Linked DNA regions of Neodiprion lecontei. The protein of the gene in region 2 interacts with the protein of the main gene of each other region in a biochemical or structural test. Links are inferred from orthologs where the notes say so. Each region holds a gene or a part of one and is shown on either strand. Other genes may lie near its edges.

Region 1 (11,277 bases), on a different chromosome or scaffold from region 2:
ACACAAAAAGTGCCTGCATTGGTCGGCCCTCTCTTATGGTCAGCACGTTCGGGTGAACAGCTGAACAGTTACGCAGTTATAGCGTATAGTTACGCGTGAGACTGGTGACAGGTACGAGCTCTCTGATTTTGTATCATTGTTTTTCCGAGAAGCGAAAATTTGGGGCGGTACTGGAGCTGATTAGCTAGAGAAAGTTACTACTATTTGCAAGTAAAAACTTCCGATTTTTACCAAATCTGGGCCAATTAAACTGAAACACATTAGTTATGGTTATAATAGTTCATCGGTTATAAACATTTCTAACGTTACGCAGCAACAATTGACGTAGCGGACCATTGCGAAGATACGCTTGATGACACATTTTATTTTTTTCCAATTTAAGACGCGACTTTATTGCGCTATTATTAGTTCTCGATTGGAAACATGACATTTTTAGTTTCAGTCTGTCAATAACCTTTGCATATATTTTTTGTAACCCGGTATAATCTGCGGGAAATCCACCTGGGTACTGTAGGTCATAGAAAGTATGCCTAACAAATTCTTTTATATTCTTACACCTAGCTAGCGAAAAGATACATCAGCTTTGAAGCCTTTGTCTCTTACCATTCGAAAACCATGGAGCTTCTAGTTGGGAGAAATGGTAATTTCTCTTGCGATGACAAAACTCTTGGGATAGACATAGCTTGCCTGAGTCTAATCAATAGCAACAACGGCAGCATAAAATTTTACGGACAATCGACAGAGTGCTTCTTGGTACGTAATCTAACAGGAAAATCAAATTTGGTATTCTTTACTTATTGTCATGATTTTCAGTGTAATGGAACACTACGCAGTGTCTTACCTGGAAACAGCAACACAACACTCTCAGTAGACACAAAGCATCCGTATCATGTTTACTATGTGCAGGATGGGTTGGAATACTGCCAGTGGGTATATTTTGCAGCATACTACTGCAGCTTTCTATTACACATACCAATCAATTTTCTTATGGACATTAGCAAAGATTCAGGAGATTTATAATTGACTGGCAAAAGTTGAAAAAATGTGTAGAGATTTGGTTAAAGATTGAAGATCTATTCAGAATATACAGGGTAACTGTACCAGTAATTCAACAAGCACCAGTAAATGACCAGGTGTAGGAAAAGTATACCATACAATTTTATTTAAGATGTTAGACAAATATTTCCATATGTTTACATGCATAATGTTATTTTCCATAGCAGACCTTCAAAATAGAGAAATTATTGCTATGCATTCTGCAATAATATATGATTTTTCAGTACCACTTTTAAATTCGAGGAGCATGGACACTATGAAATGAACTTGACGGATCGTAGCTGCTCGGAAATTTATACCACATATCAACCACCAAATCCATATATGCGTAAGGAATTAAGTATTTTAACTTTGAAAAAGCTATATTGGAACTTGGAAGTTCTGTACGTAAATATTTTTGCAGCAATTTTGGCAGCATTTATGCTCATGTTTTTCTTCTCGGCCACATGGGCACTCGGAACATTTGTCGTTCGCTCCGGACTAATGACCAGATTTTTAAGGAGAGATGTGCCCGAAGTTCAGAGTGTGAGTGGATATTTTCAAGAGAAAGTGATTTATAATACTTTGATATTACTGATGTTTGGTATTTTATATTTCAGGATCTGGGAAGACTGCAGGAAAACGAATCTTCACCTAGGCCTATAGAGAGGGTGACCAGATTTAGCACTCGAGCGAAATTTTTGGACACCTTTCGTGGGTAACGTATAATTATATAATGGGGCATTCAATAAATAATGGCAACTCAACCGATGAGTTTCCTTTTTTTTTTATAACATTCTCCATTTTCAAAAAAGCATTCCTGAGTTTATTTAAATATTTTCCTACAACTATTAATTTTTTATAATTATTCAAACTAATCTACAAATTAGCATTATTTAAAAATCAGAAAAAATTCTGAAAAATTTTATTTTTCATTTCGATTATGCAGACATTGGCCCACGATAGGGGGATTTTTTTCGATTTATTTTCAGCACTTTAAACATCTTGAACAAACAAAACACTGTGTTACAACGTCCCAAAAATGTTTAACAAATTTTTTAAACTAAGCTTATGTGTAAGGGCAACCAGTTTCTCCTAATGTAATTTGTTTCGAAGGAATTTTTTCCCAGTATTAAGATTTTATTGATAATATTCAACAACAGTGGGGGTAAATACTGGTTTTCAAGTAAGACTAGTATAAAAAATAAAATGATTACGAAGCACTCTGTTAGGTACAAGAATCTCAAATTTAGCTAATGGTTCAGGTCAAACCGGTTTTTCCTCATGTAATTCAAGGATGAATTTTTTTCCCAGAATTGCGATTTTATTGATGATATTCGTCAACAATGGTGGGGGTAAATACTGGTTTTTCAATCATAGCCCATGGAATGGAATAACACTGGCAGACTTGGTGTTGCCATTGTAAGCATGAAACAAACCTCTACAAATATTCTTGTTACTTTCAGTCGAAGTACTTTTTTTGATGATCTCCAATTTTGTGATTGATTTTAGCTTTGCATGGATCATGGGATTCACCATAATAATTTCACTGCGTACCCAACTTAGGATATCTATATCCCGAAGCAGGATTATTTTACGTTGTTTTTGTCGATCTGTAACTTTGATATTTCTTGGCCTGGTTATCAACTCACTAACCAGAACAACTGAGAATTGCGTAATTCTGAAACTCAACGATCTCAGATTTCCAGGAATCTTACAATTATTGGGAGTATCGTACTTTATCTGCGCGACGCTTGAAGCTATATTCACCAAGGCGCAACGAACTTTTCAGGTTGGCTCTAAAACTGGTTTTTGAACTGATTGTTTAATATCTATGATGAATCATTAGTCGATCTGCTGTGATGTTTATGCTAATATTAACAAACCATTGATGAGGGAGGATTCTGTTATTCGCAGTATGACCGACTAAAATTTCTCCAAGACATTTTGGATGCTTGGGCGCAGTGGTTGGTTATTATTGCCATTGCAACCACACACTTGCTCCTGACGTTCCTTCTACCAGTTCCTGGTTGTCCAAAAGGATACTTAGGACCAGGTGGACTTCATGAACATGGAGCACATGCTAATTGTACTGCAGGAGCAGCTGGATACATCGACAGAACTATTTTCGGTAACCATATATATATGAAAAAGTCCGGAGTTTATGGAAAACACCCACCCTATGACCCTGAAGGTTCGCACATCCAATTATTGACTCACGAATGTATCGTTGTTACATACCTACAAAGTTCAGACTGCTTATAATGTGCTCCTTCTTATCTCTCATCTAGGAATTATGAGCACCATTTCAGCTGTGTTACTGGTTTATATGGGTGTTCAAGCTGGTAGAATCATGCTAACGTACCACCAAGCAAAGTCCCGTGTGATTCGTTGGCTTTTGTGGTCTGTGGTTACGGTAAGATTACAGCTATTGATCACAGATATACTGAACTCTGAAAAAAACCTGTATGAATTATTTATTATTTTATGCAGGGTATTTTGGCTGGTATTTTATGTAACTTCAGTAAAGAAGATGGTGTTATTCCTGTGAATAAATCGATGATGTCGTTGTCTTATGTGCTCGCAACATCTAGTATAGCATTTGCCATGAATACAATTCTCTACATTCTGATTGATCTTCAACATTGGTGGAGTGGAGCTCCGTTCTTTTACGCAGGCAAGTTACCAACTTTTCTGGTATACTTTATTCTGAATTGTTTTGCATTAAAGTAATACGTGTTGATTTCATTCACTATTTTTCAGGTACAAATGCTATATTCTTGTATATGGGGCATTACTTTACGATGGGAGTATTTCCTTGGACCTTGACGATTAATGGAGTTAGGACGCATGCTAATGTATTATCACTAAACTTGTGGACCACGGCGCTTTGGGCCATTATTGCTTATGTGCTTCACAAGAAAGAAATTATTCTCACAGTATAGACACAACCCTATCTATTCCACAGTTGAGAAGAAAGTTTTGGAATTTCTTCAGCTCAGAATTCCAAACCATTGGTCAAATAATTAAGTGGAATGAAAAAAATGATAATCTAATTTTAAGCCTGTCGTTTTGGGCAATATACACCCACTGTTTGTACTAGCCCACATGTATAATTTACTTTAGCGACTCGTTCCAATTAGTAAGAATTAATTTTTGACAGAAAAGTGTTTGAGTTAATAACCGACCATGTTCGTCAGATTCATTCAAACTGGTTTGACTGATTTTGGCATTATAACACGCTAAGCATGGCGTCAGTCTCAGGGACTGACAGTGAACTTTTTGTTAGGCGAGCGTCGGGTCACGATGTAGTCTGAACGGAAAGCACAGCAAAATCGGCCCCATGGTTAGCGTTTTAATCGACGATACTTATGTTAGATGTAATTATTATTTTACCGCTTTGGACAAATCCCATTTAATTTGGGTAAATGCTTGTTATTGGTGTTGTAGTTTGAGTAAAATATAACATATGTAATTTTATGTTATTCTCCAACACTATTTACATATTCATACGCATGCATATGCTTGCGGTGCATTTTTAGTTTTGTTATAAATATTTTGTTTCAACCAAACTGTTAAAATGAGGTGTGGCATCTCATGATACCGATAATTACTATTGACCTTTCAGTAACAGAGATATAAAGAGAATAGGCTAAGAATTGGACCAATTCAGTTTATATTAAGATATAGTTTCTATTTACGCATTTCGTTTTGTGATACAGAATATGGCTGAAAATATTAGTATTTAATAATTTCATAACAATATAGATCTCAACGCTAATGAGGTCTTGTATGATTTCTACCCAGATATATCGAATTAATAAAGAACGTTATATACATATACGTATGCACTATGTTATGATGCGCATACTTTCATGGCCTGGAATTATCACATTTTGTGAATCTTTGGCATTATGAATTCCTCTCTTCCGGTTTTTTGTATGGAAGTCCAAGTTTACTGAAGATATCCTCTTCACTTGTGATTAATTCAGCATTCCCTGGTAACCCTTTAATAGAAATTGTAAAAGGGTCGATTAATCTAAACTTTAAAGTTGATTGCCGGATTTTGCATGTTGATCCGTACCTTCCAATGTTAGATGTTTCAAGGTATACTCGTTCAACGTAAATTTCTTTTTAAGTGCGTGTGCCCGCATATTTTTATTGAATAAATCACTGCCGGTAAAATATAATACGGCACAGTAGTAGTGATCGCTGGGAGTAACTCTGATATCAAGTCGGCGAAATGGTTTACTCGATTCTGCTGGATCTCGGCAAACACCCTGTTTGAAAGCAATTCCAATTTTGACAATGCTTAAGTCTGTGTTGATGCAAATCAAGATATTCTTTGTTAATATAGCTGCATACCATAAACTTTGTGTTGCCGATAGAGATAGTCTCTGTGATTATTCCCTCCTTTTCAAGATGTTTAACAATATTTTTTAGCATACCGCCTTTATTTTTCGCATCCATACTTTCGGATGTGAATTTTGGATGTGTTATCAAGACGTCAATATCGCCGCTCTCATCCTTTCCACGTCTATAACTACCACAGATTGTAAGTATATACTCTTTGTCTAAATTAGCAATCACTGATTTGAGACTGGTCTCGAGTCGCCGCACCTCTTCCCTTGGAATTTTCTGTTCAAAATCTTGAAAGTACCTGCCAAAAATTGGAAAAAATTATTGCAAATACATCATGAGGAAGAAAAAATTTGAAATAGCTTGATTAAAAATTGTTTCGAGATTACGAAAATGGTAGGGAAGATTCCAAATGTAGTAAAAATCATACTTTAAACCAATTTTCTGATGATGTGTTAATTTATCTTGGTTTTTTCTCAGGTCTTCCAAAGTCTTTATACCAGCATCTACCAATTCCTTTGCCTTCGATGGTCCAATTCCTGATACCCTGGTCATCAAGTTTATAGGAGCACTGATGCCATCAGCATTAATCTGAAAATGACAAATACAAGGTTAAATCCTAATACAGCTGCGTTATGAAATTTCATTGTTCTATAGAGTTTAAGGATATCGATATTGACCTACACATGTTACTATAGATTATGACTGATGATAACTTACTTTTTCAAGTTTTTGTAATTTTCCGGTTTGAAGGAACTCATCAATTTTTTTTGCGATCTTCTCTCCAACCCCTGGCAACTTTTTTGCCTCTTCACCATTCTTCACTCGGTATGATAGTGCAGCCAAAGTTCCAGCAGCTTTACGGTAAGCGTTATATTTGTAGATGTTTTTACTGACATTCCGCTCGTAATTTGCTAGCTCTGCAAATTTTTTCATACATTTTCACTTTGGATAAAATGATCATCAAACTTTCACCCAGTAAGTGCGCGTCAAAGTTCAATGAAACTGAGGCGATGTATACCTATCAGAAAATCGGAGAGATCACTGTTTAGATTGTCTGCGTTGTCGGGTGCCTTTCGTTTGCTCATCTTTCTTGTATTTTGACAGGGATCTCAAAATTATTAATCGCCAATCGCCGTGAAAGCAATAAACGAACTGTCAAATTGGAGTATAACCTCTACACTTTTCAATTGCTACCAAAAGCTGCAATTTCGTAATCTTCTGCTTTTTTCCTGTCGTTGTGCCCTTTTCAGGAATATGAAAATACGTAGGTTTCGACAGAAGTGAGATGACAATTGTATACACGAAAGTATTTGTCGGCGAGGGCGGCTAGGGATACCATGATAGTACACGAACCGTAGAACTGTAAGCAATACTTGTTGTCGGCACCACGGAAGACCTTTGGGAACATTTACCAACATACACTATCCGTAACAGAATTACAGAAGCCCTGTGGCGATATCTACTTATGTCCACTGTCGGTAACAAACGGCAGTATGACACTGTTGGTTGCTGATGATACGGACAGCAGCGCTAAAAAAATATTCATTCAAACACTTAATATCGAAAAAAGTGGATCCAACTTGACATGAAACTAGAATTATTATTGGAATTACAGCATTTGAAGTCGAATAATTGTTATCACATAAGTGAAACTGCTCTTTAGTTACAATTTTTATGAAGAACCACTGCAGCTTATTCGAAATTTATTTTATTTTGAAAGTTCACTAATTAGAAAGTTCCTATTTACTACGTATCTCTTAATCTTTCAGTTGCTGCCTCCTGTCAAGGTCAACCCCAACGTGGAGTTGTTACGACCAAAGCTACGACAGTGTCCTACGAGTTTATACGCTATATTTTGAGGAAACGAGTTGTACAGTAGCATACAGCTGACTGTGAGAACATAGTGTAAGGATTTGTGACTGGGATGCGTGTCAAAACGTGGAATTATCGCGCTTTCATGTCTTATAATGCGTGATAATTCTTATTTAACGTATCGGTGTATTGATGGGTTGAGACCGCAGAGATCGTGTTAATCTAATCTCAATATCGTCAAGTACATATTCTTGTGAGAATAATACATGCAATCGATGAAATGTATAGCGCTATAAGCGAATACATCGGCTGCGACATAATTTTTTGATTACCGCGTCAGAATCGTCCCGACGGAATGTCTGTTGTCTTAAATTATTAATTGTTCGGTATCAGAGTACCGCGGTGGCAGCATTATTGTAGTAGTGAGTTGAGACAAATCGAAACATTATACATGAATTAATTCAACTGCGACGCCGTGGCCAGCAGTCGCCTTCACCGTTGCCACAGTGAGCAATCATTTAGTACTAGACGGCAGCGCCACATCGTAACAGATTTGGCATTTTCTTACTAAATTGGCGGTCGCTTCAAATAGAGTACATAATAAATACGTAAACACGTTAGCGTTTTATTGTTTTTTTCTTTTTTTTTTCATCTCATACGAACATCACAGTTTTGATTTATAGCGTATCGTATGAGTCACAGCTTTGACTTATAAAACTATACAGTAAAACAATAGTTTTTATGTACTCTTACACCACTGCTTAAATATTTTGAACACGATTTGCGCGGAATTCGTCGAAAACATTTCGTCGATTAACAGATCGTCCAACCCAACACAACTCAATCTACAAAATTGTCATTTAATGAATTGGTTGTTTGCCTTTGTTACTCGACGCATTATTTTTTCTCAACAACAACGCAACATTCTCCAGTCTCCAGGTGGCGCGATAGTCAGGAGTTTACTTTTCCAAATGAGGGTTTCATACGTTTCTGAGTCATTTTCGTATTCGGGTACTGAAATTGAAAAATGTAATAAATACTTTAGAAACGTATCAGATTTAGTACAATGATATTAAACTAGTGACGTTCGTCGCTAACAGTCACCAGCGCGATTATCGCCGTTTATCGTCCACAACCCGACGTTCGTGACACTCGTTTTGGCGTCGAGACGCCTCGGTAAAGCTCGGCAAGCATCGCAGGCCAATCGATAGCCGGTTCCCGGAAGGTTTCGGAGGGGGGGGGGGGGGGGGGATGTCGTCAGTGTCGCCACACTCCTCAACGGATCCGGCAGCCCGGCACTACTTGCCTCCCACCGCTGAGCTTGGTCTCTGTTGAAAGTTCAAGGAACGAACGCGTCTACGGGCGCGGCTTGCGTCTCGAAGTGGCGTTTTACGTGGAACAATGTCGTCCCTCGACTATTTGGATTTGTGCAGATTGTGTCTAATGAAAGATCGTGTGTCCGTACCGATATTCGAGGGTGAGGGTGATGTCAGGCAGATTTTTTTAAAGATTGCGGCCTGCTTGCCGGTCAAGGTAAGCCTACAAACTACGCCATCGCTCTATGCCAGCCAATATACGGTCGCCATTTTGTCACGGTTATTGTTTCCTACCATTTACAATGAATTTATCGATTCCGTATGTATCGAGTACACAGCGTGGTTCTCGATCACTGTTCCCGCTATTACAGTTTCTTATCTCGCACGTGAAATGCCGCTTCGGTGTTGCTGTTCTGTGGTTGTAAAATCGATCCTTCTTTTTCTCTGCTCTGCAAACCCCCCCCCCCCCCCCCCCCCCCCTTCTTCGCCCTCCCTCCTTATTGCTCGTGCCGCGTCGTTACGGCAGGCGGTCCGACGCCATTCCTAACAAAGGGACGCTACGGCGTCCCGGACTCTATTCCTGTGAATTATGTATATAATTCTACTTTAATTGGCGAATGCTGTTCTAACAACTATGATATGTACAAATAGATGAATACAGACGCGATTCTGAGCGAACTGCATTTTACAAATGAATTTTATTACAGGTTGCACGGGAAGACAAGTTACCTAAAAAGATATGCGACGATTGCGTTTACAAAGTAGAATTACTTTACCAATTTTGGAATACAACGGCAAACGCCGAGAAGCAGCTACTCCAATGGCTTGGCGAAGTTGGCTTGGAGGACAAGCAAGGCTATGTCACTGGTGTCCTAAATCCGGTAATTTAACTCATCTGCCCTAAACACAACAATGTTGCTTCAGTTTGACTGTGTTTGAAACACGAAATCGAACACATGACAATCTCATATTTACTCTTCTATTTTTTTCTTGTTTACCTTGACAATCGTAAACAGTGACCACAATATTTTGGACACGTATGTTTATACTCACTTAATTAAACTATTAATGCAGTATAATTGTTGAGATACATCTTCTGCCAACATTAGGGTACAATTAATATCAAGTTTATCTTTTTTTATTGGCAAGTGTACTGGGTTGTTCATTTGAATGGCTTATGTTCATTTAAATTTTTGTAGTTTTATTTTGCACCAAACTTTTTACTATGCAATTCGAAAATTTTATCAGTGGTCTTGTATTAGACATGAACTTTTAGAGTGGCAAAAATTAAAAGAGGTGTTAGATCAACATGTATGTAGAGAGATCGTGACACTGCTACTGAGAACGTTCTTTTAAATACAAAATAAATTTTATCGAAATATTACAATCTTTCCCAAATAGGTATAGTATCTGCGATCTGTTTACAAACTCAATCAAAAGCTTGTGCAGGCATTTAGTTTCACATTCAAATCTAATTAACCCTAGTTAATCATTGTTGGTTATCCATAATACATAGTTTTAACAGTATGATTATGACTTTTGTTCGCAGAGTACAATGAAACAAGAAGAAAACAGTTCCAGCGGATTGGGAGGCACAGCAATACAGGTGACTGGAGTTCAACCTGGCATTGGTATAGGAGTTATAGACAACATGGGACTAGGCATGCCGCTAATTATTCCCAGCTCAACACAGCAGCAATTAACTGCTGTGCCAATGGATACAAGCACTGGACCCATCCAACCTATCCAACCTATCCAACAGGCTGTACCTGGTCCAAGTAGTCAACCTGGACATGAACAGATTGCCGAGTCCCAAACTAATGCAACAACGCATCAACAGGACGAGGAAGAGGAAACTAGCGATGATGAAGAAAACTCTGACGATGATTGCGATGGTGATGATGGTACACGAAGAAATTCATTTAGTTTGCCTAATAGTTTCAAAATTCCTAGAATAAGCTCAATGTTTTTTGAACTTATTTCTAATCTTAATAACGTACGTTGTATTCAACTGACAAGTATGGTGTTCTGATTTAATTATTGATTTCGAGTCTGTGTTTAATTTGAACATTTTGATTTTAATACAGGTCTACCTGTCAAGGAAGAAAGCGAGGAAGATCCTAGTAATAGTAGAACGATTGAACCTACGACGTTTGTAAATGTATCCCTGGCTTGCGACGAAGCGGGTCCGTCCGGCTTGCAGCAGCAAAAAATCGTGGAAATGCCAGAAATGGCTATGCCCCAGACAACCGACGGTGATCCCAAGTCTGGGTGAGTTTTCCTATTTTTTCTTCACTGCCCTTGCCATTGAGAGCCAAAGGTGTTTCGTTGTGAAATCCACAAACATGCGCAAACACTCACTCTTCTAAGTAATGAGGTTGTTTATTTTTCTGAATGGGATTCTGATGGGATATGTATTGGAAACTTTTTTTTAATCATCTTTTCAAACCGAATAGGTTTTTCTTTTGTACTTTCCATGGTTCGTGTTAATGTAAAATTGCGATCAAACAACCTAGATGGGTACTCTGGAGAGTTAGTCACCTTTTAATTGTTAAGGTGCACAGGGCACGAAATGAATTGTGTCCACCTACACACCTCACAACCATCTTTGGCTCAGGCCTTTAGCAATTTGTTCAGTTGGAAAATACTCAGTTGAGAAAAAAAAAAAAGATTATGATTATAGCAATGCTTTGTACTTTTTTTTTTTATGTGTCGAGTCTGAATTGTGTGCTACAAAATTAATATTCAGGCA
Region 2 (10,217 bases):
CAATTGCACCAATTTCTTGAGAGAACTGGTATTTTTCTGAACTTCATTCCATATCTGAAAACTGAGATAATCTGAGTTTTCGTATTTTTGCGTATTTTCCGACAGTACCACGTTACGGAAAACTGAAACAGATTTTTGAGAAATAATTGAGAATGTCCTTTCCAAAACATGAAAAAATCTGAATGTATCTGAACGTAAAGAAATACTTTCAATAACACTAAAATTGTGATAACTTTCTAGTAATTTTTAATAAATATGAAGGTGTATCCGTAAATTTGCCGACATTATTTATCCGCGTAAAAAATGAAATGTTTCTGCAAAATTCCTAGAAATTATGAAAATTGATCAGAGATTATTCAAAAAAACAGAAACTGTCAGAAATTTACGTTCTCATTGAATTCATTGATATTTCTCCGAGCTTCTAAAAATAGTTTTCGCCAAGAATGAGTTTGGCATTTGTTCCATGACAGGAGAGTAATATAGATAATAATTCTAGTCGGTTTTATCAAGAGTCATGACTAAAGAAACCGATTATTTTTCGATATATTCTCACGAACGGAACCGTGACGGAAATTTCATCTTCGTCAAACATTCGATCCAATACGTTAACAATAAGTTCGAATTTTCTTTACTTCAAACTTCAATGGATAAGACAGTCAACAAAACGCCGCGAACGCGGTTCAATTTCTAAAATACCTTGCCTTGACCCGCGAAGTACATACTTTGAAAAAATGCCTGTTTATTGGAGTTATGTTCCATAGTTGGCGACGGGATAGCGAGATCAATGCGCGGTATTTTTCCGCGCCTCTGTAGTCGGAGTTCGGAACTAAAACCTTTCATCACAATTCGTACACATTTCCGGATCCGGGAAGCGAAGGCTGGTCTCTTTCATATTGGATTTGATAGCGGACAGAGCTCGTCGTTTAGGCATCCGAAGTTATCGGACCTTTCTAGAGTGAATCTAGAAATCTCTATCCATTCAGGATGAGAGCAAAGGTGCGTTTAGTATAATTATATTAATAGTTTCACCCAATTTTCAAGATTAATTATTCCAATTATTACGTATTTCCGTTAACCTCGAATGGTCGTTATTTTTGTTCTGTCGAACCTTTTCCATTACCGCATGTTTCGAATGGTGATGAAAAGTGTGCAATTGTGCAATGTACATTTTTCAGGGCCATAACGCTTTTCGTATTTGTGTCAATTGTAATATTTACGTATATTAACGCGTATTTTCAAATCCACGCGTCGCTTTTTACCGACGTGGCGTCGGCAAAACCCAGTCTCGACATTTATTTAGTACACTATGCGCTGGGTGAATTAATCAGTACATTTTTAGACAAGTGTTTTGAAAAGTGTAGCAGTAATGAATTGGTGATTCGAAATTTGCATCGCGTGGATTATTAAGCAAAGTAATTGAACACGTGTTAAAGAATGTGGTGAAAATCATTTTTCGTAGAATCTCTACCTTGAGTATTCACACGCGTGTAAAATTTGTATTACCCATACTTATGTACCGCGTGATTTACATCAACAAACTTTGTATAAAAAGAATATTGAAAAAATTCAAATTTGTATTTCTACGTTTTTTTGGCAGAAAATTGACGTAACGAATTCATTTTTCTCAAGTAAATATGACTTATTGTTTGAAACAGACCAAAAGTTAATTTGTTTTTGTTCGTCTATTGAAGTAGTGATTTTTAACTAAAAGACTTCGACATTGAATTATAACAATTTCACGTTTTTAATTCATCTCTTCGATTATAACAGTGGCGTAAGAAGAGGATGCGCAGGCTAAAGCGTAAGAGGAGGAAGATGCGTGCAAGGTCCAAATAAATCATTCCACCATGACATTTGTAAGTATTTTATTTGTCGTTCAATTCTATGCCACGATGACTTGTCATATCTAAGTTTCATTGATTATGACTTAATATTCAGAATTTAAATAAAGAAAAATAATCCAATACAAGTTTTCATGGATTATTAATTTTCTAGAATACAAGTTGATGAAAAGTTCTCATCTTTATATTGAAGTTTTGAGATATCTACTGATTCCCTGTTTTTCACTTTCAGGAGTAACATGGATAATTCACTGACACTGGGACAACACTTCATCATTGTTTGAACAAGAGCAAAGCACTAGATGTTCACAACTACATCCTCTTGTGGATCCAAATTACAAATAATGTTATCGACGTGGAAGATTTAATACTTAAAAAAACATTTATCTTGTTTTGATACATTAAAACTACGATTCAAGATATTGAAATAATTTATTTGAACCCATTCCATCCATTTTTTTTGTAAAAGTTCAGAAATTTTCATCAAAAAAATTACTTTCATTCAGCGAAATAAAGAAATAAGTGAGTTTTATTGGATCAATTGATTTGCTTGGTTTAAATGTTCAACGTATTAGACGTGTGATAGGCTAGATTCTGTGTAACATAAATTAGACCACTCTTAAGCTTTCTTACTTTATGACATATCTCTATCGTTGGCATTTCTTTTCATTTTTAATGTAGTCGCGTTTTACGGGATTACTTCGGAAATCGAGTGTTCAGATCATGTGGATCATAAATTTTCATGACTTGAAGAACTATGTACTATTGCAATATCAAATTCGAAAGTATTTATTCTAAGTTTCGAATTCACTTCGAACGTGGCGTCTCCCAGTTCATCAGGGAGGGGGGGCGTTGTCAATTATATATATATATATCTGTTGGCCTGTTAGTCGAAGCGGGAAATTCTGAAAATATACATTCAGAGATCGTATTCCCTTAACATTTTTTACCCAGCCAACGCGTTACCGCAAAGCTTTTTTCATTGTGTGAAATTCGAACGAATTCTGTGCGATTACCCCACCACGTAACTGTTACAGTCCTACGAATAAATCAATTTTGCCTAAATTTAATTGATTCGGGGTTTCTCAAATTAAAGTTTCCTTCACAGATGTTTCGAAAAATAGCGTTAAATTCTTAATTTTTTTCAGTTTTAATTTATACATTGTGGCGCATTTATCGTTAATGAAACGGAAAGATTTTTCTGGAGGATGATTTGAATCCATAGTATTTAGAACTAGAAGCAGATTAAAATTTGAGAAGTCTTAAAACATATTAGGTACTGAAGACTTCATCAATTGCTTGAAAAATTTTGCTGAAATTTTTAATTCCAAATGTCTTGACCTAGACTGAAGAATATATCTTTAATCAACGGCGTGGTGAATCATTTTACAGTGTAAAAATAATTTTCTGATTAAAAAATGTCACTATCTGTCTTTCAACTGGTGAAATACTTGAGTAACTGGGATTGAGTAATTGTTCATCACTTATAAGTACATTACAATGTTTTGTTTGTATTAAAGAAGTAACATTTTTTCACGCTCCTACTTGAAAAACTTTACACAATAGGATTCAATTTTTTCTACAAACAAGTTTTTGAATTGGGAGTGAAAAAAGAATGTTGCTTTCAAAAGAAATATACCAATATATATTTGTAGATACAACATATGAAACATGTTTTCTTCATTATGTCAGCTTCAGTTTTTAATAATCAGAGTCTGTATCCTGGTCGTATATGCTAAGTGGGTCTGTAGATCCTGTGTCAGCGTCCACTTCTTCCTCGCTTTCTGGCAGGTCTTTTTCTTCCTTGTCAAGAGCGTATCGCCTCCACGGAAATCTGAGAAAAGTAGCAATATCTTTTATTTATTCCCTGAAGAATGTTTAAGTTGCATTATGGAGCATCCAATTATTGACCTACCTCGTTTTCTTATCGTAGCAATCCTCCACCCACTGCTGATCAATGATTTTAACACTTCCCTTCAGCTGATTATACTTTGGTGTATTCTTAAAAGCACAAACCAAGTGCGTACAATTGTGATTTCGCCCATTAGGATTAACAAGGTACTTGGCTCCCATGGCGAGTGCTTTTCGCCTTATTTCGTCCCGTTTCGGATTTTGATATCCACTGAGAGAAAAGGTCACATTTTCGAACAGGGCACTAAAATTCTTAACTGGCTTTTTAGGTTTGGCTGGTTTTTGCCTTGAAGCTCCATTTGCCTGGTCTTTATCAGGTACTAGTAAATTACAAGTCTTGCATAAGACATTCTCCTCATTGCCCAAGCACAATGAACACCTCAGTCTGCCTCGATTTATGCTTTCTGACATCGTTGTTCGTGTCTCTTGCAAAATGCCAATGGAGTGTTGTTTAGAAGAACTTTCCATCGGTTTTTCATCTTTGTCCGACAGTCTCCGTTTTTTGATCTCATGTTTTTTGTCCGTCTCAGTTGATTTATTTTCATCAATTGCGGCATTCGCCGGAGTTATTAATTTAAGAGAGAGTCTTTTACGGCTTGGAGTTTCATCTCTTTTCTCATTGACAGCGACAACGCGATTGCTCTCGATCTGTTTGGCGAGTTCCACCTTGAAACTATTAGGCTTAGGCTTCATCAGCTGAATGTATTTTTCCTTGAATTTGTCTAAACTGTTGTCGCCTTTGTCCTCCTTGACTTTGAACCTGCCAAAAGTGTCTAGGTTTCCTGAGTCCAACTTATCGTCTGTGCGCAGAATCAGGAACGAGAGACCGAAGAGAACTCTGGGGTTTGCTGGCTGCGAGCAAGTCACCTTCACCCTATTGAAAACCCTATTGAGAACCTCCGCACTGATTTCCTTTTTTGTAAACAGCTGTACCTGGTCCTTGAACAGACCGTGGTCTGCATCATTGAAAGACATAAAGGTATGGCTCACAATTATCACCCACTCCTCTGGAGCATTGCTACTTGCTCCGGCGATCTTCACCGAGCAGCACCGTGAGTTTCCTATGTCGACTCCTGTTATCTGCGACGGCTCTGCCAGCTCAAATATTGCTTCTGACTCCTTGATTCCTGGCTCCTCGCAGAGCCAGGTCAGAGACCCGATGCTGCCCGAGCGATGTTCGCACAAATTCCTTGCCGGGAATGACGGGTGTTCCGAACTGCAGCTTACCAGCTTGCCCAGTTTCACAATCATTTTTTGGTTTTTCTTAAGTACCCAAATATTCGATTAATAAAATTTGTCAAATATTGTCAGTCAGTCTGGTTTAACTCACTGACTGTTAATTTTTAATTCGTCCCGTTGAAACCAACAAAATTCAAACTGCTTCATCACACCGAACAAATTCTTTTCTATACTTGTACTTTACTGTTTTCAAACTTCATCTGCTTTTCATCATACTTTCTGTCAGTTGTGTTCCTAACCTCGAAATATTTTCGTTTCCTGCTAATAAGTTTTTCGGCGGTCTGGAGTGGATTATCAAACGCACCTTATGTTACTTACAGTGGGTAAGGCAGCATGGTAAGGAATTGCTCCTAATCTGATTGATCATTCCATTCTTATGCTGTGAGTAATTTTGCTTGCCGCCTATTTAACTTGCTTTTTCTAGCGCGAATTATGCATAACAATAGAGTTGTAATATACACTATTTTGTTTCATATTATTTCTGAAATACTGAATACTATTAAATTAGCACGATACACTTTTACAATTAGAGGTTGAGTAGTATATGTTTTCTGTAGTAAAATTGGTGAAAAAACATTTGCCACTATTATTGAACACCTATATGTGAAAATTTCCAAGAAATTTACGAGACGAATGATTCAAATTTTGTTTTCAGCACTTTTAAATGATTCTAACACTTTCCAGATGTTTTAGAGCTCCGATCAAGATATTGAAGTTAAAAGTGAATGTCGATACAAAATTCCTAGAGAATCAATTGACAATTACACCGACAGATGCTGAGAACATTTCAAAAGTTTTGTTGCAAAAATTCAAGAAAGTTAGAAAAAGTTAGAAAAAGTTAGAAAAGGTACTGAACTCCTGAGAAATTACCTATTGTCCCGAAATCTTCGTGAAACTTCGTATGCCATTATCTGGAGCCTTTTTACAAAATGTTTATCAAAACTCTGTTGATGTTCGAATCGCGTAAAAGTCATCAAAGTATAATGAGAAATAGTCAGAATTTATGGAACTTGTTTAGCGCTTTTAAAATCTGCGAGAACTTCATCGGAAAACTCGAAAATATCAGTTGAAAATAATTCCGCGACGCATTACAATCTTCGATAAGAATCCCGGAAAGTTCCTTAATTAAAAAGTAAACCAAAGGGGATGAGGGAGTGAATTGCTATTCAATTTTACACGTCCAGAGTTCACTTCTCCTAGTGTAAATATTACGAAAAAATAGAAGTCTGACTGTTTTACGGCAAGATGCCTGTAGAATAGCCAAAATAATTGTTAGCTACCGCTGGCTACGGATGTAATCTTAAAATATTTAGATGTACCCATCATAGTGTAAGAAAAAGACTCAGTCGGTAAAGGAAGCATTTTTATATACTCTCGGAGCATGAATGATCCAATCTGATCTACAATCCCACAGAACCTGTAACAGAACTGACAGAACGTTCATTTCGTATTGCTCGACGTATATTGGTCACGAGCCTCGCGGGTGGGGGGTCGAACAGGCAGAGCCGCGGCCGACGAAAACCGAAACTCCGGGGGTGGCAAGCGAAGCAATATGGCGAGATGTGTCGTCGACGTAGGGACGGTGAGGTGTCTAAGTGAAAGAATGGTAAAGATGCAGAGAGAGTCGCGAAATGGGTTGATAATGATGTAGTGGATCGTCGAGAGTGCGGTGAACATTTAACAAGTGTAAATAGAATCAAATCCGTTCGTCCCGGTGTTCCGTGCCCTATAAAATAAAAAAAAAAAAAACGGTGCTGCTGAAACATGTCTTCTACGGATAAAATAAAGGTCGCCGTTCGGGTTCGCCCGTTCAATCGCCGAGGTTGGTAAAAAGATACAACAGAATTTGCAGCGACGTTCGTCCACAGATTTTGCAATTGCAGCGTCGGTAATCCGCGACGTTAAAGATCCATTAAAATCCACATTAACCTGCTGAATCAAATACTGGTTCGCTGTACAATCGGGCAGCGCGCGGCGGCGGCGGCGGCGACGGTTCTCCGCCAGCGCCGTAGATACTTTCCGAGAAGTATATCATTGATTTCGCATCCTAAACCGACGAAACTGGCATCGCCAGGAGATTGACAATTATTGTTTTCCACATAGCATAGCTGAGTTCTGAACTGAACATTTCCGTTCGATCTGTTGTGTGGAGCGAGAAATCCAGGCCTCGTAATTTCAACCTACAATATTTATTTTGCGCACACACAACTTGAACCTAACATTATCTATATCGGCGCTTCAAACTTCGTTCACTTGTGATTACAAATAACTGCAAACAGCCACAACCACATTCACTAATCGCTACCGCTTTCCCCTGTATCTTTATATCGGCCTCTGTACTTCAGGCAGAAGAGAAAAAACACCGATCTGACGCGTGGTGCTGGTTGAAAGCGTATTTTTTACGCACGCGAATCGCGTCGTAACGTTTCGATGAGTTATTATATTCATCCATGAGTCTACGGACGTCAGGCCTACTTTCTGTCACCCGCCTGGCTTTGTCCTTTTTTTTTGGTAATCTTCAACGAACATAGCTCTCGGTAGTAGGCAATTCTAGTCGATTTGTCTGTTTCATGCCGATCGGACTGCTCGAAACAATAGCGTAATGATTCGTGTTTTGAACAGTTCGAAATGCTTCAACAGTCCGGACAACTTCAGAGTGCTCTTCCAGCCCTCGAGCACAATGACAACGGTCATACTACAAAAATAATGATAAAAAACCGCCTTTAGAATAGACGTCTGCGAGCATTTCAATTCGAATTTATGATAGAAAGAGTTCAGCACAACGGAGCCATGTGCAACGTGAACAAATAAGCGAAAATAATTGAAAATCGCAATTGTATCAAACTTTTGAATTCTCAGTTATGTTAGGTAAACCATAAATTTGGTTCTGAATAAACCGAAATGAATCGTTTTCAATTCCTTAACTCTTACAAACTAATCTTAATGTTAAATATTCTAATTTCGGTTGTGTTTCGTTTGGTCAATGTCACAAACTTCAATTTACGAGAAGAGTATCACACCTCCAGGTCATGGATTCTGCTGAAACTTCTAAGGATGTTTTTCTGGCCTAAAAGATGTACTAATCTTCTTTTAAAATTTGGATCAGGTTTTTAAAAATTCACAGTTACTTCACTACGACTCTGACATAATATATTAGTTCGCACTTGATTTGTGGTGGAATACTATCGCTTTGAAGGTTCATGAAAGCGCAATGAAAATTAATATTTAAGACAACAACATATAACAAGTAAACTGCTGATATAATCGATTGTGACTAACGTGAAGAAGGGCCTATTAGACGAAAGTTCAAATCACAGGCTTCGTATTTTAGACCAAGGAAATGACCCTAGAAGTTTCAGCAGAATCAATCATCTAGAGGCTTTATCGAGAGCATTATACACTCCTTGTCAGCGTGTAAAATAAACATGAAATAGTCAAAAATGCGAATTTAACGATTCGCGGACTGTCTGAGGCCCCGTGGCTCGTCCGTCCGGCATAGATGGTGTATAATAAATACACCGCGACATCTGATTATCACTTCACCTGCCTTCCGAAGGCCACCGACCAAGCAACCGACGACACGTTGTTCCAGCCTTTACAATGAGTGATTCAATGTCGGCGCGGTAAACTGTTTACGTAAAAATAAATAAATTGCGCTAACCTGATGAATCGAAACTACCTGCCCTGCCTGTATAGCCGCTTTTGTATCCCCATATATACATACACACACACGGATACCCACATATCTACGTAACAACACAGTATATAAGCTCTGTACTCTGACCCTGTAACGCGATTTGTATATATCACAAGGTGTTTCAAAACAGATAACGTCAGATTCAAGTGCAGCAAGATTACTTTTTATTACAGTTATAGTATACAGTCTGAATTTATATGCAAGGGAAAAATGGTTGATCTTCTCAGTTTAAGAATTCAAAAAAGGTGGGCAGAAAATCGATTCTTTTTAATCACATTGTATACAGAGTCACAATAAAAATTTTCTTAATTGACCAAATTTGACGTTGGTTTTTGTCAAATTCGTGAAAATTAGATCACATAATCGACTGCATAATCTTCAGTTTTATCGAGTGATATTTTGTTATCTTGGGTAGCACCTGGTATCTGAGAAATTACAACTATAATTTTGGCGTTTATTTCCTTGATCATTCATGACTTTGAGAACCTGAAGTAGTTGTTCAGTGACTGATAATATTACCAGCGATAGATAAAGGTTATTTTGATATAAGACCTGAAGCGCAGGCTTTGCACCGAAATAAGGTTCTTTATCATCACGGCGGTTGATTTACGGAATACGTGCGTGGGTCCTGGTAAAAATCAACACAGCCTATTGGCCCAAAAGTAGTCCCGTCAAATCCGTAACGGGATTTACTTGTATAAACATTTTAAGAATGCCTGGTGCAAGAACTTTCTATCATGATTCAAGCTTTCGCAGTATATATATATTCTTGTCAGTCGTGAAACGGAATATAAATTTTTCTCTGAATGTACTAGTTTCACGTTATTATACAATATCGCATGTTTTTTCGAACTCGAAATAACATCGGAAATACTGATACGTTTTGTTATCGTGATCTCGGGCTTGAGTCCATTGATAAGTGAATAAAACGAGACAACTGAATCATTCGATCAGAATCCATTAGTCGGTTAGTTCACGTGCATTATCCTCACTCTGCAGCGCAGTGATGACAAATCTTGGATTTCCATAAAACGCTTATCGATCTCAATTATCAAAGGCATAACATTGAAACGAGAATTCAGTCTCAGCGTCTGTAAGATTCGAACTTCACAATCAATATCCATGGGACGAATTGTTGAACGAAGCAAAAAAATTTGTCGAATTAACGAAATGCGATAAAGCAGCGAAGACGATAACTAATTAGGTGACTCAATCATTCGGCATTTGAATGAAGCGAAAATTTGTTAGAATCATTGGAGAAAAAAAACGGAATCAATGTTTATCAAAATTCAAACCAATTTCGATTAGTCAGCACCTACTTAGTTCTCTTAAATTTACAATTAGCGGAAAGTGAGAATGACATGACTCGGTCGGTAAATGTAGAACTATGCTGTTGCATCCTTTTAGCGATGAGTAGAGTTCAGTCAATGAATACGTAGGTATATGCCTTTCTATTGTGTTCTTGTTGAGACGTCGTGAAAATGCTGCACTAAATCGATACGTTTCGTTAGTTTGAATTATGTTTATTA
Region 3 (12,254 bases), on a different chromosome or scaffold from region 2:
GTACGTGACAGCAAAAAATGGAAAGCAGATATAGAATCGGTAGATTAAAACCTTTATATTCATAATGGTTTTTTATTGAAGGAAGATTTCGTTGCGGGCCATGCAAATTAAATATTAGCATATACAACTCGTTTTTATTGAGAACAATAATATGGACACATATGCGTATATTTATTCAAACAATATATGATAAATTATCATACGATACGTACGTGATACATCGAATTACTTGTAAAATACAGTTTAATGACCCACAATGTAATATATATGCTTATACCTATTGAAACATTTGAACGCGTCAGCAAAAGATATTTTCATACATTACTCATATCACATATATTATACGTATATTATATGTACTTAGGGTTCTGTCTGAGTAACGAACCAGCAACTAACAATTTTCATAAACATTACTTTATTCTGATAATAAGATTATACACGTTCGCTTTTAGTTTTCACTTATCACTGGACTTTTTCATTTCAAATTAATCAATTATTTACAAGGTTATAAGTCGTTGTAGCTACGGTACGTGGTTTTATGAATAAATAATAAGCTGATTTCAATGAAGTTGATGGCTGCGTTTGTAGAAACTAGATTAGCTTTGAAACGCGTTGAAATCACCCGCCACAGGTCGGTTGGTTTGAAGGCAAGGGGGAACGGGGGGAATAACACTTAGCGCGGTTGGCAAGTTTTTGTTTTCGGATAAGATCGACCATAAAGTAAATTGGGCTGTACCGAATGTACAAAATTTGAAGAGCATTTATCGCCAATCTGGCCCAGCTAATCTTATCAAAAAAACATTTTGGCAAGCACGCACGTGTCGACGATATGGTAAATTAAAACGAAAACCAGGGTACTATATTTTATCGGATGTCGCATCAGGACCGCCTTCGGTCAACTTAACAGAGCATTAGGATATTACGTGATTACCTCTTGATTTATTTGCCCGACTGGCTACTTCGTTTGCCATCCACATTCGTTTCACCTGTCGCGCTGAAATTCGTCTCATCTGAACGCGCTGTTCTAGAAAATTTTTCGAAATTTCAAATACGGTGTTATTTCAATTTGATCCCGTCAAGGTGTCCGTAAAAATATAAATGTCGGAAAATTTGTTGAATGAAAAATAGCATTACTTGTTTGATCATGCGTTAAAACTTGGTGTTTCTTTGACGGTAAACGTTTCTATATTTTATAGTAACAAAACATACTTGACACAAGCAATGAAAGAATGATCGATGATCGAAAAATTTTTTGAGCAAGCTCATAAATCGTATTTTGTCATGTGCAATTTATGGATTAAAATAATTGCGGAAAGAATTTAACTGTGATTTTAATGATGCTACAAAAAATGCATTGTTCATACGGCGTCGCTTCTTTAAAAATGTCGAATATTTATACGCAAGTTGTACATTGAACTAAGGATTGTATATGTACCGACTATTACAAATTGGTGAATTTTGACGGGATTCCGGTACGAGATGGCGAGCCCTTTTCTGAGTACCCTGTGGCACAATGTCCATTGCATAAACGAAATTACAACACACGGAGTTTACGTTTATCTTCCAACAGAGAAATGTGACACGTAGCGATATAACGGGTGCTCAAAACACACATAGTTATCGTTGGTATGCGAGGTTGACTAATACCAGGTGACGTGGTGGCAATATAATTTTCATCCCCCCCCCCCCCCGCCCTCCCTCCGACCCTCTGCCACCCACCCGCCCCTCTTTTCGTCCATCCCTACAACCGAGTGCGAGCTGACACTGCCTTAATATGGACAAATGCCGGACTATATCTCAGGACGGGTTTGCCTTGCATTATTTGCCTAACATCCTCATTTGCCATCCTTACGTACATTATATGCCCGACCTTTAGACACCCAGGAAGGAACGACGGGGCTGACAAGCAAGACAAGGGATGCGAGGACACGGGGGCGATCCTTCCCATCCTCTAATTCATGCCTTTCACTCCTGTGAAAGAAGGCTACAATATGCATTTTACAATCGTTTCTTGCTACTGCTTTAATTTGTTACTGCATTTGTTTGTAAACACTGTACGGTATATTCGGGTCGAAGGAGACACAGACACAGCGGTTGTTATAATTATGATAAACAAATACTGTTGCAAAATCTGGCGATAAATAACGCACTGCATTATACCTATACGTATTGAGTCAACTTTGAATGGGATTGCCGGATATTCAAACAACTGCAGCACGAATTGTCAAAACAATTAGCGTGAATATCGAAATTTATCTTCCATCAAGAGCTTGAACAAACTGTCGCAATAATGCGCCTAATGTATATATATATATGTATGAATATACCTTTGATAAAATCTTGAATTCCAAATAATGAGAGAATGAATCAGAGCAGAATTGATGCTGAAGGTCCCGCGTAATAGAATTTCTCAAAACTAATGAAGTGTAACACAATTGAATCTGTACTAAAATTACAAAGAGGTCAAATTTATTGGTTTATACGTAGGGGGTAATCTCTGGAACTACTAAATCGATTTCAATAATTTTCACTAATAAAAAGCTAAACTATCCTTGAGTAATATAAGTTACAATTCATTTTGATGAATTTAATAAGTTTTTAGTTTAAATTGTCAATATTTGTAAATTACGTCGAAAAAAAGCATTGCTTGACTGCTTTATCGGCGTGGGATAACCAAATGATTGGATATACGTGAAATGTAACATTTATGTGATGGATAACTTTAAGTTTCGGGGTTACAATGCCGTCTTTTGTGGAACTTTCAAGCGGAGAGACACGAGAGCAAATAAGTCCGTGAAAATTAACTATCAATTTTACAAATGAAAATACCAAAGCTATTGAGAGTCTCGCTCTGAACTTGGAGGATAGGTAATTACAAAGAATAACTAATTGTAAAAAAACGTGCTTGGAAAATTGGCAGGGAATATTACTGGAAGACGATTAGATTCGCAGATCGAGCGCCGTTAGCATATCACGGGGGAAAAAGGAGCCCCGGGCAAAAATGTTGGCACTAATAAACATTCATGCTTCGGCCGAGGGTGGAGGTTAAATCCTGATGCATTAATATCATCCCCATCTCGCCTCATCCCCCTTCGGCCCTTCTCTTTTTATAATTCTTTGCTACGTCGTTATCCGCGCTCGGGGCTTGCCGGCGGTCGAGAAGAAGGGAGAATGGGAAGGAAAAACTCCTGTCTATTTCCCTATACCCAAGGGCACGAAAAATAATTACCAGGCTCAACGTAATTCCTGTATTTCCAGCGTTTTTCCAGTTATTCGCCGCCGAAGCATCGCCTGCTTATATCAAGACTGAACCAACCCTGCCGCCCAGTATTTTTATAATGTTTCTTTCCATTATCGTGCTACAGACTTAACCCTGATTAGCATGAATACGACATGAATTCAACGTCAGAAGTACCCCGAGGGTCTTAACTTAACTCTGATATTTCGAGACCTTGGAGAATTTCTTTTTTCAATACTTTAAATATCACTGTGTATGGCTCTGCGTTTGATTGAAAGTATACAAGCTTAACTCTCGTATATTTTACCCTATAATCGTCGATCGGAATACGACAATTTTTATTTTTTCAATTATCATCTCAATTTTATTATCTTTCAAGATAGCTATGATGCATCATTTCTCAACCGAAATTAATCGCGAAATCACATTTTATAACGATTCATCAAAAATTCGAGAATCACATTAATTAATCGATTCAGGTTGCAAACGACGTTTTTCACAATATAAATATAAACGGTATTCCGCTACGGTATTTCATGTTATACCTAAGAAGGATTGGGTGAACTACAAGTAACTATACACACTACGAGTAACTATGAATATGGAAGATTTAATGTACGAAATTTTTTTTTTATTCAGCACGATGTTACATCATGATTAACAATCGGTAACTAAAATCATTGTACAATAACACTTTCGTTCCCGTCTTCACAATAAAATCAATAAATTTAATCTCTACGTCGAAAGCAATTACTTCGAAAAAACTTATTGATCATCGACCCTGTAAACCACTTCAGAAAAAAAGGAAATTTACATTAAATGAGGAAAAACTATTTACTCGAGTAATACTATAAAACAGTTTTTGAAAAAAACTATACACTGGAATCGTCAATAATTTCGCATAGCCATTGCTTGGAAAATCAGAATGGCAAAATTTTGTTCAACTCTTGAATAATAATAATATTAACTATATAAATAATCGTCGTATACATAAAATCTAATCACATTACTGGAAAAGGCTTAAGTGTTAATTATAGGAGTATAAAATTCTTGAGGAATCACTTTTCCAGCAGGTACATTTGGTAAAGCTTCTTGTCTTTTTCGTTTTTAAACTTTGGCACAAAGTTGATCTTGACGATTTCGGTAAAGCCTTCGTCCATCGTTGGCGGCTTAAAATTCTTTCTGTAATGTTCATCATTCATGAGGTCGAAGTTCGTGCAGAATCGTAAGATCAACAGTAGCAGTAGCTTCACAAATCTGATACAGCGCCATATTACTTGCGACTTTGTGTCACTAACAATACAAAGGAAACAACATCAGATCTCAAATATACCTAGACTAGCTATAGTAACGGCGTTGTCACATTTTCGCCCAACCACCTGTGTTAAGACTACAAAAGCAGGCTGCCACCCTTAGTGAAATACTTCATACTGCATCAATTACCAAGAAAGAAAAAAAAAAAAAAAAAAAAACTTTACCGAATTTTTGTAATAGAATTTAGTCATTCAATTAATCGACTTTATATCATAACACTACATTTACCGTCACCTGAATTATATCTTCAGTTATTTCTGTCAACAGAATGTAATGAATATGACTGTCTACTCACATGTACGCGTGGATTATTGCGTCGCTTATCGTGTCATGTAAGCTGTCTGTGAGCTGCCGAAACTATAATAAAAGCAAATGATTTATAACTTACTTAAAGTTGTTCCACAACGCCTTCTCGTGAATCGATTCTAAATTTCTTTGTATAACTTGTACTATTAAGGATTTAATAATCGGTACCTTGTTGTTATGTTTTGTATGCTCGAGTTCCGTCCCCATTAAGAAACATCTCACCGGAATCCCCCGTGCCTTGGCAACATCGATATATTTCTGTCTGACAGTTGGATCTGGGTTAGTGTTATCCACAACAGCACTTTTGCCCTCGGATAGTGCTTGTTCCAATGCTGAAATACACTTTTGCCAACTGCCCAAGGTGTCTCGGTTTATCCGACGGTAAGTAGGCAAGTGTACTTTAGCAAAGTGTGATTTACCTGAACCAGGGCTGCCGACCATAATTATCACCTATTAAGAAGTTAATTTTTTGTCACATGGCCAAAAATCAATTACTTTTGTTGAAAATTACAAATACATTAACATCTGATAGCTGAAATGAAAAGTTGAAACGACGCGATACCTCCTGCTTGTCTGATTTAAGCTTAGCCGTAGGAGGGTCTGTTACATCTGTATTTTCGGTCAATTTCATTGGATCAAATTTAGGTAGTTCCCACGGCGCTGGCTTATGTCCCAAAAAATGTTCCTCTGGTGTTTGAAATTTTAAACCCAAATTCAAAGCTAATAATCGATCGGCACTCGAATGATCTTTCTTTTTTTTTGGCCCCCAATCTTTCTTTCTTCCAGCTGCATCGCCGACAAAAAAAGAGGAATCTTTATCCACAGTTACTCCTTCGTTTTTCTAAAAATTTATATTGCATTAATATTATTCCCCTGAGAAGCTTTCGAATACATCAATCATAGTGTAAATTGAATTTAATCTTGCACACATACATGGTTAACCAGCGAATCCCACATCCCGGTCAACGGTTTTCTGTATATACTTTTTCCAGTAGCTATGAACACCTTTTTTACCGAAATATTTGCGATTATTTTTGGTTACAGGATTACAATTTCCTTCGTTACGTAGGTCATAAAAATCATAACTGCACCTGTATCGGAACTCCAATTTTTTGGACAATCCTTTCAATTTTTACTTTGAAATCACTGGGTTTCCACTTTCCGAGACTAAGTGATCCTTGATTTGTAAATATTACTATTTTATACCCTTCCTTGTGTAATTTCTTCAATTTTCCGGGCACCTCAGAGAAAATTAATTGCCAATCGTTATGATCTTTGGGAAAAACATGCCCTGACTGCGTCTTTATCAAGGTACCATCCATATCATAGGCTGCTATCTTTGAAAACATAAAATACATTCGAGATTTCTTTTTTTATAGTTTAACACAAAGTTTTTACTGTTTAAATTGAATGATGAATATTTATTTGTATGGAAGTTCCCTGACTTTTAAAGTGCGACGTTAACGAATTTTCAAGACCAAAACTATGCTTCATTTTCTTCGAACTCTAAAGTACCTAATGATTCAATTTGTATAGCACAACTACGGCTATGAAATTCATTTAATCACGTACTAACTTTGGATCGTGCTACGACACCCTTGCTTGTATATATTAGTAAAGCCTTATCAATGTCTTCCCAAAGTTCTTGCTCTGTCGGCTTTGAATTTTCCTGACATTCCAAATCCTCCGTTTGGTTGCATTCTCCGCTGCCGTTAGCTGGCACGTTATCTTCTACATGATCTTCAGGAGTTTGCATATCTGGGTCGATATTCTCATCTAGGATTTTGAATTTCTTAGCTTTTGCTGATTTACTCAGATTCACCCCATCCTCTTCACCATCGGAACTAGATACGTAAATTCTCTTCTTGAGACTGCCGCTCTCGGCCTTCTCGTCCGGCGGCGGATTGAATTCTATACGGTATTTGTACTTATTGTAAAGCATTTCCAAACAGTCTCCGTGTTTGGCGATAAATTTCACATTCTTCTGCGTTTTGAAGCCGTTAAAGCCGGACGAGTGAGAGCCGACTTGTTTGACAAATACTTTGTAATCCGCATAGCTTGCATAAAGCCATACTGGTGAATTCACATGAAAAAAATAATAATTCACCAGATATATTCACCTAATGTAAAAATGAATAATAAAGCAACTTGAAACAATGATTATGAAAAAAGTACGATTTGTTCATAATTCGCCATTCTATTTGACGTTTTTCTTGTTGAATCAAACATTCTGGTGAGTGAGACGGGCCTACAGGGTCCGAATTCGAGGCGAGAATGTGTTTAGATTGATGTTACGGTCATGTTAAGCTAGGTTATGGTCGAAGGAAAACTAACCTTGCTGCTTGGAGCACTTAACGTCAGTTATTTGGGTGGCGACGCTTCTCCCGACGAAAGTTGGCGTTTCGTCAGCAAGATAGATCGGCGGCAGCGATTTGTCGTCGCTGAAAATGTAACAACTTTGCGGAGGCACGCTCATCTTAATTAAACAACAGAGAACCGCGGAGATTTTCGTTGTAGCCGAGAAACACGCGCCGGAATCCATTTACCTTGCGAGTCAGACGCGGCTGTAGCTGATCGAACGCTGCCAACAGCAGCCAACAGCAACGACGCGCGACGCACCGTGCCGGAGTTTGTGATTTTCCGCCTGATTCTTCGCAGATCGTAGGAGCACGATTGTGGTGATTGGAGGCAGCTGGATAAACGCGGCGGTATCGCCGGTTGCCTACGACGCAGAGTAAGGCAAGTGTACCAGTTATTGACATACACGTGTAGACCCAATTACTGATCCTTTTATTCTATAAAATTATAAAATGACGGCGCAAATTGTGAATTTTTCGACGGCTAAAACCAATTTTTGCCAATTTTAGAACTAAGGATCAAACAGATACAACCAAAACAGGTCAATATTTTGGACAGGATCATAACTGGTACACTTACCTTACGTGGCACAATCCTCTCGCGAAATATTTTACTAGAAGGTTCTTTCAAATTATTTTTAATCTTACGTTTTGGTTTTTGCCGATTATTAGCACTGATCCCGCCGCGACGCGGACGAAGTGGTAGATATCGCATCCTGTAATTTCAACCATTTCGGGACCGCTTGTGCAAGGTAGTATAGTCGAGGATTGCCATTCCTGTCCCAAAAAGGAATTTCTATTTTTTCTATTAACCATTTCGTTTTGCGTGTGTAACCCTTTTACTCTCCGCCCCCACGTTCCTCTTCATCACTCACTGACATGACGGCCGAGCATATCGTTTGGTTGAGGTTTATTCAATTTCCTTTTATTTATTAAGATTTTGTTTTTGTCCGTTTCTAGTGTCATGGCACTTACAGTTAGTGCCTGGCGCCCAACAATTCTTGCGTTATTATTTTTTATTGTCAATAATTACTTTTCTATTTATTTCATTATTTCGTTTCTTTCGGTATTTTATTTTAATATTGAGTATTCGTGAAAAGCGCCTGTGCGAGCCTTTACTTCCACGCAGGGTGAATACATACATGTATGAAATTTTTAATTTCTTATGGTAATACATTTGCAATACGCAAATATGTATCTAATGTAGATCAAACTGGGTTATATTCCTTATGCCACAGAAACTCATTGAACTACTTTTAAATTTTAATACAAACGTAAACAGTAGTTACAGCTTAGCACGTTCAAATGTTAAAATTTAGTCTAGCTTATCAAATAATTATCCGACTGACTTAGCGTCACCTGTATCGACATAAATTTAAATATATTGTCAACAATACAAAGTAGTATATAAAGCGATTAGAAATGAATAGAGCCACATTCCAACAAAATGGAAAACCAACGTATTATGTTTGTGGTGCTTTCAATGGTAGTATCTTGCTGTTTTGGAACGAAATCAACTACTACGTCTGTAACTCAGTATGGATCCGTGAGTGATTCGTCGCGTGTGATTCAATTAAGCGAAGAGTATTCGCTACTAGAGTTGGAAAGAGGTATCAATTTTTGTTTTACCCTTATGAGGGATATCGGTACAAAATTATCCGATGAAGCGGACAACGTTTGTCAACATGATTTCTACAATATCATGATGACCCGAGACAAAGCAAGCGGTGCATTAACGATGGGGTTGGATAATGTTATAAACACATACATAGCTACAAGGCCAAAAACGCAAGCTTCTTCACTGGATAGTATGGCTCGAAGCATTGTACGGTCTGAAACAACTAACTTTATTAATAATGTGACTGATTCAATCATGGAAGTATCAAATCTACAAGGTAATCGTAGGGATTTTGTAGTGGAGGCTAAAATCGCCGAAAGACGCAACGCCACCCGTTCCGCATGCATCACAGCGATTAGAGCAACTTTCCTGCCAATACAAAGGAACGCAGTCCAACCTGGAATGGAAGCTGTTATTGAGAACGCCATAACTAAAGCAGCTGCCGAATGCATTAAAGTATTTGGTTTTGTTTACGATGGAATTGAAATTCTTACGGGTTTTAGTTCCGACGATGGCGATCGAAGAGAGGACTGTTACTGCAAGTTGGAAGAAACACGACAGAAATCAATGCTCCCACTTAGGTCGCAGACAAAATATATGTACGGTGTACTTCAAATGATTACTAGCAGTGATTCATCGAGCAAAAATGAGTTGTTGCAAAACTTCTTTGACCTTGATTCAGTCCAAAAAATGCTGTCTGTCAGCCTTAGATCAGGTATTGATAATATTTTTGATGCAATGGAATCGGAGATAACCAAAACTTCTTGCAATGAGAAAAGTTCATCTGATTGTAAATCCTCCACGATTGATATTGCTGAAGATAAAACAATTGCCGATTTCCAGAAAGCGGATTTACTGTATCTCAATATAATTTCATCACTTTTCGGAGAATCTTCATCGACTTCTTCTATGACCTGCCAATCTTCAGGTTTTACCAACTTATCGGAGCAAATAGTTAAAAACATATTTGCAGTACTTAGATTGAACCAAACCGCAAATTGTACCGCATCGCAACCTACGATCGTACACAGGAGAAACGATTCACTTGCTGCTGCCAAAACTTCGGTGGAACAAAGCTACGCGATGGTAATCAAGAACGGCCAAAAGTTTCCCGAGAAAATTCAACGTGCGTTTGACGCTTCCAAAGCGAATGCGACCAAACAATACCAGTTTGCAATAAATGACATATTCAATGGACTTGAGGCCTTTCATTGCAGAGGTTCTCAGAATGGATCTGATGTCGTCTTATCTGAGATCCAATTATCTACTACTCGTGCATACTTGGATGTTGTGAGCCTATTTCAATACATGACCAACAATTTGCGAATTCTTGCGTTGTATAATGTATTCGGTCTATCCGAACAGACGGATATATTATTAGAAATTCAAGAGAATCAGGACAAAACTTACTTTGAATATTCCACTGAATTCAATCAAGTGTTTAATATGATTGCCGAAATACAGGAACAAATTAACGCCGCAGTCCGAACTGGAAAGGAGGTTCATCTGCAGTGCAATAATTCTAGCACGGCTCAAGCTATGAATATGAAATTGTCCAATGCTGTCTTAAGCACAGCACAAATTCCTCTTAACTCAATTGTAGAGAGCAAACCTGATGCTTCCGCCAACGTCGAAGTAGCTCGGCCGGAAGTACGTGACGCAGCGAAGAATTTACTTGCGGCGGTGAATAACGCAATACAATTATACTGCTGTCAAAACTGTACCAACGTCCTAGATAACTTGACTGCCATCCTGGAGGATGCAAAATCTTACAGTTCCCGTTTCGTCAATTCTACTTTCGAGCCATTGGTTTGCGACTCGCCGAGCAATAGCCAAATTGGAATTAAGATCGAACAACAACGAAATCACGCCAATAAAGCAATTTTGAATGAAGCTACAACGGGATTTGCTGGAATCAAAGCTCTCCTCGGGCAAATTTATCCATCTTCTAGGATTGGTAACAAATTGAGTCGACTTCTCGTTGAAATTTCACGATATTCTTTCCTTCTCAATAAGAAAAAAGAAGTCAAATCCGAGTACAACGCTGTACAAGACTACTTTGTGTATCAACTTACTTCTACGAGGCAGTCCAGATATTTACATTATATTAATGAAATACAAACGCAACGAGAGATCGCATACGATGGGATGTCCGAAGGAATCAGCACCCTATTTGATATGTTCAAGAATGACGCTTCCAATTCACAATCTAATGATACCATTATCATTGATCGCGCCCAGAACAGGACGTACATTTGCATAAAGAGAGCAGTTGACGCAATGCAAGAAGCAGTAACAAGAGTCTTCCACAAAACTTCTTCAGCTGTAAAAACTGTCCGGATCCCAACGTATGTCGCAATAAGATCAGCCACTTCAAGTATTTATGCCATCGTTCAATTGATCCTACAAAGAATGTTTTCTGGAATCTACCGTGAAATTGTAATCATGCAAAGAACAGTAATCTGCTTATCCGAAGTTATCGTCAAAAACTTATTTATACCTATGCGAATCGACCAGGAAAGCCATAAATCCACACATGAGCTCAATAACGCAGAATTCTCAGCGGGTAACCAGAGCGAGGCTGCATTTGAAACTATGTTCGCTGCATTTGAAGACTATACGAAGAACCTCCGTCCCGAAAAACATCCTCGTTTTAAATACTACTCATCTTCAATAGAAGTCGCCAAATCAAGAGTGATAGTCCATTTTAAGGCTATGTGCGATGTTGTCTTCAACTTTATAGTGAACTGTTTGATGAATGAATTCATGGATAATACCGCCCTTGTTTAAATTATTATCATTATTATTATTATTATTATTTATGTACTTAGTGCAAAATCACTGAATCTCTTTGACACGGAAGCTAAGTAGACATTTCGTTCTAGTAACTCACAGCTGAAATCGGAGGTACAAGCTAGTTTATAAAGGAAGATTTACATATTCATTTCGTAGTAATTTTCTACGCAGTAAAATTCTGCTGCCTGGCCCGTCAACTTTTCTACTGGAAAATAACTTTATCGTAGATACTGTCTTCTCATAGAATAAAAAGTACCTATTTTTGTGATGAAAGCAACTTCAAGAGAACTGAATTTGTGCATCTGCGTTGGTTGAAAGTCACTACGGAACTAACATCATATTATGTTACATTTTACAAGCCCTATTAACTGAAAAATATCATGTCTGACAACACTTAAAATTAATAATTTAAATAAAAATAGGTATGTTATTCAAATATAATTTTTATATTCCTTCCTTTCATAAAATAGTAATGATAATGTTGATAATGATAACAATAATAATAATAATAATTAGAATAACGAGGACGAAAACACCAACAACAACAACACTAGTGATAGTAATAGTAATAGCAGTAGTAGTAGTAATGATAATAATGTAATGTATCTTTTGCAAATCATCAATT

The links.
Region 1: the proteins of DNA repair protein XRCC1 (region 2) and DNA polymerase beta form a complex in vitro, tested with the Homo sapiens proteins (5 studies listed by BioGRID, with this or other methods). The link is inferred for Neodiprion lecontei from reciprocal best matches to the Homo sapiens genes XRCC1 and POLB.
Region 3: the proteins of DNA repair protein XRCC1 (region 2) and uncharacterized protein F21D5.5 form a complex in vitro, tested with the Homo sapiens proteins (3 studies listed by BioGRID and IntAct, with this or other methods). The link is inferred for Neodiprion lecontei from reciprocal best matches to the Homo sapiens genes XRCC1 and PNKP.

Annotation. Positions count from the first base shown.
Region 1 is NC_060264.1:26,378,092-26,389,368, reverse strand, and holds DNA polymerase beta, read right to left. Parts: upstream 7,372-11,277; 5' UTR 6,483-7,371; coding exon 6,416-6,482; intron 6,340-6,415; exon of another isoform or gene 6,331-6,339; coding exon of another isoform or gene 6,315-6,330; coding exon 6,115-6,314; intron 5,986-6,114; coding exon 5,825-5,985; intron 5,696-5,824; coding exon 5,401-5,695; intron 5,316-5,400; coding exon 5,120-5,315; intron 5,043-5,119; coding exon 4,948-5,042; 3' UTR 4,330-4,947; downstream 1-4,329. Other genes in the region: heparan-alpha-glucosaminide N-acetyltransferase, read left to right, coding at 616-753, 814-966, 1,074-1,135, 1,281-1,384, 1,460-1,581, 1,656-1,753, 2,350-2,457, 2,548-2,827 and 4 more; zinc finger protein 62 homolog, read left to right, coding at 8,611-8,742, 9,233-9,406, 10,075-10,429, 10,613-10,796.
Region 2 is NC_060261.1:13,220,393-13,230,609, forward strand, and holds DNA repair protein XRCC1, read right to left. Parts: upstream 5,390-10,217; 5' UTR 5,004-5,389; coding exon 3,757-5,003; intron 3,676-3,756; coding exon 3,543-3,675; 3' UTR 3,464-3,542; downstream 1-3,463. Other genes in the region: kinesin-like protein KIF13A, read left to right, coding at 6,756-6,813. UniProt on the Homo sapiens protein: Scaffold protein involved in DNA single-strand break repair by mediating the assembly of DNA break repair protein complexes. Negatively regulates ADP-ribosyltransferase activity of PARP1 during base-excision repair in order to prevent excessive PARP1 activity.
Region 3 is NC_060262.1:30,638,283-30,650,536, forward strand, and holds uncharacterized protein F21D5.5, read right to left. Parts: upstream 7,474-12,254; 5' UTR 7,401-7,473; coding exon 7,193-7,400; intron 6,932-7,192; coding exon 6,435-6,931; intron 6,196-6,434; coding exon 5,950-6,195; intron 5,864-5,949; coding exon 5,792-5,863; intron 5,700-5,791; coding exon 5,421-5,699; intron 5,309-5,420; coding exon 5,027-5,308; intron 4,910-5,026; coding exon 4,848-4,909; intron 4,532-4,847; coding exon 4,297-4,531; 3' UTR 3,854-4,296; downstream 1-3,853. UniProt on the Homo sapiens protein: Plays a key role in the repair of DNA damage, functioning as part of both the non-homologous end-joining (NHEJ) and base excision repair (BER) pathways.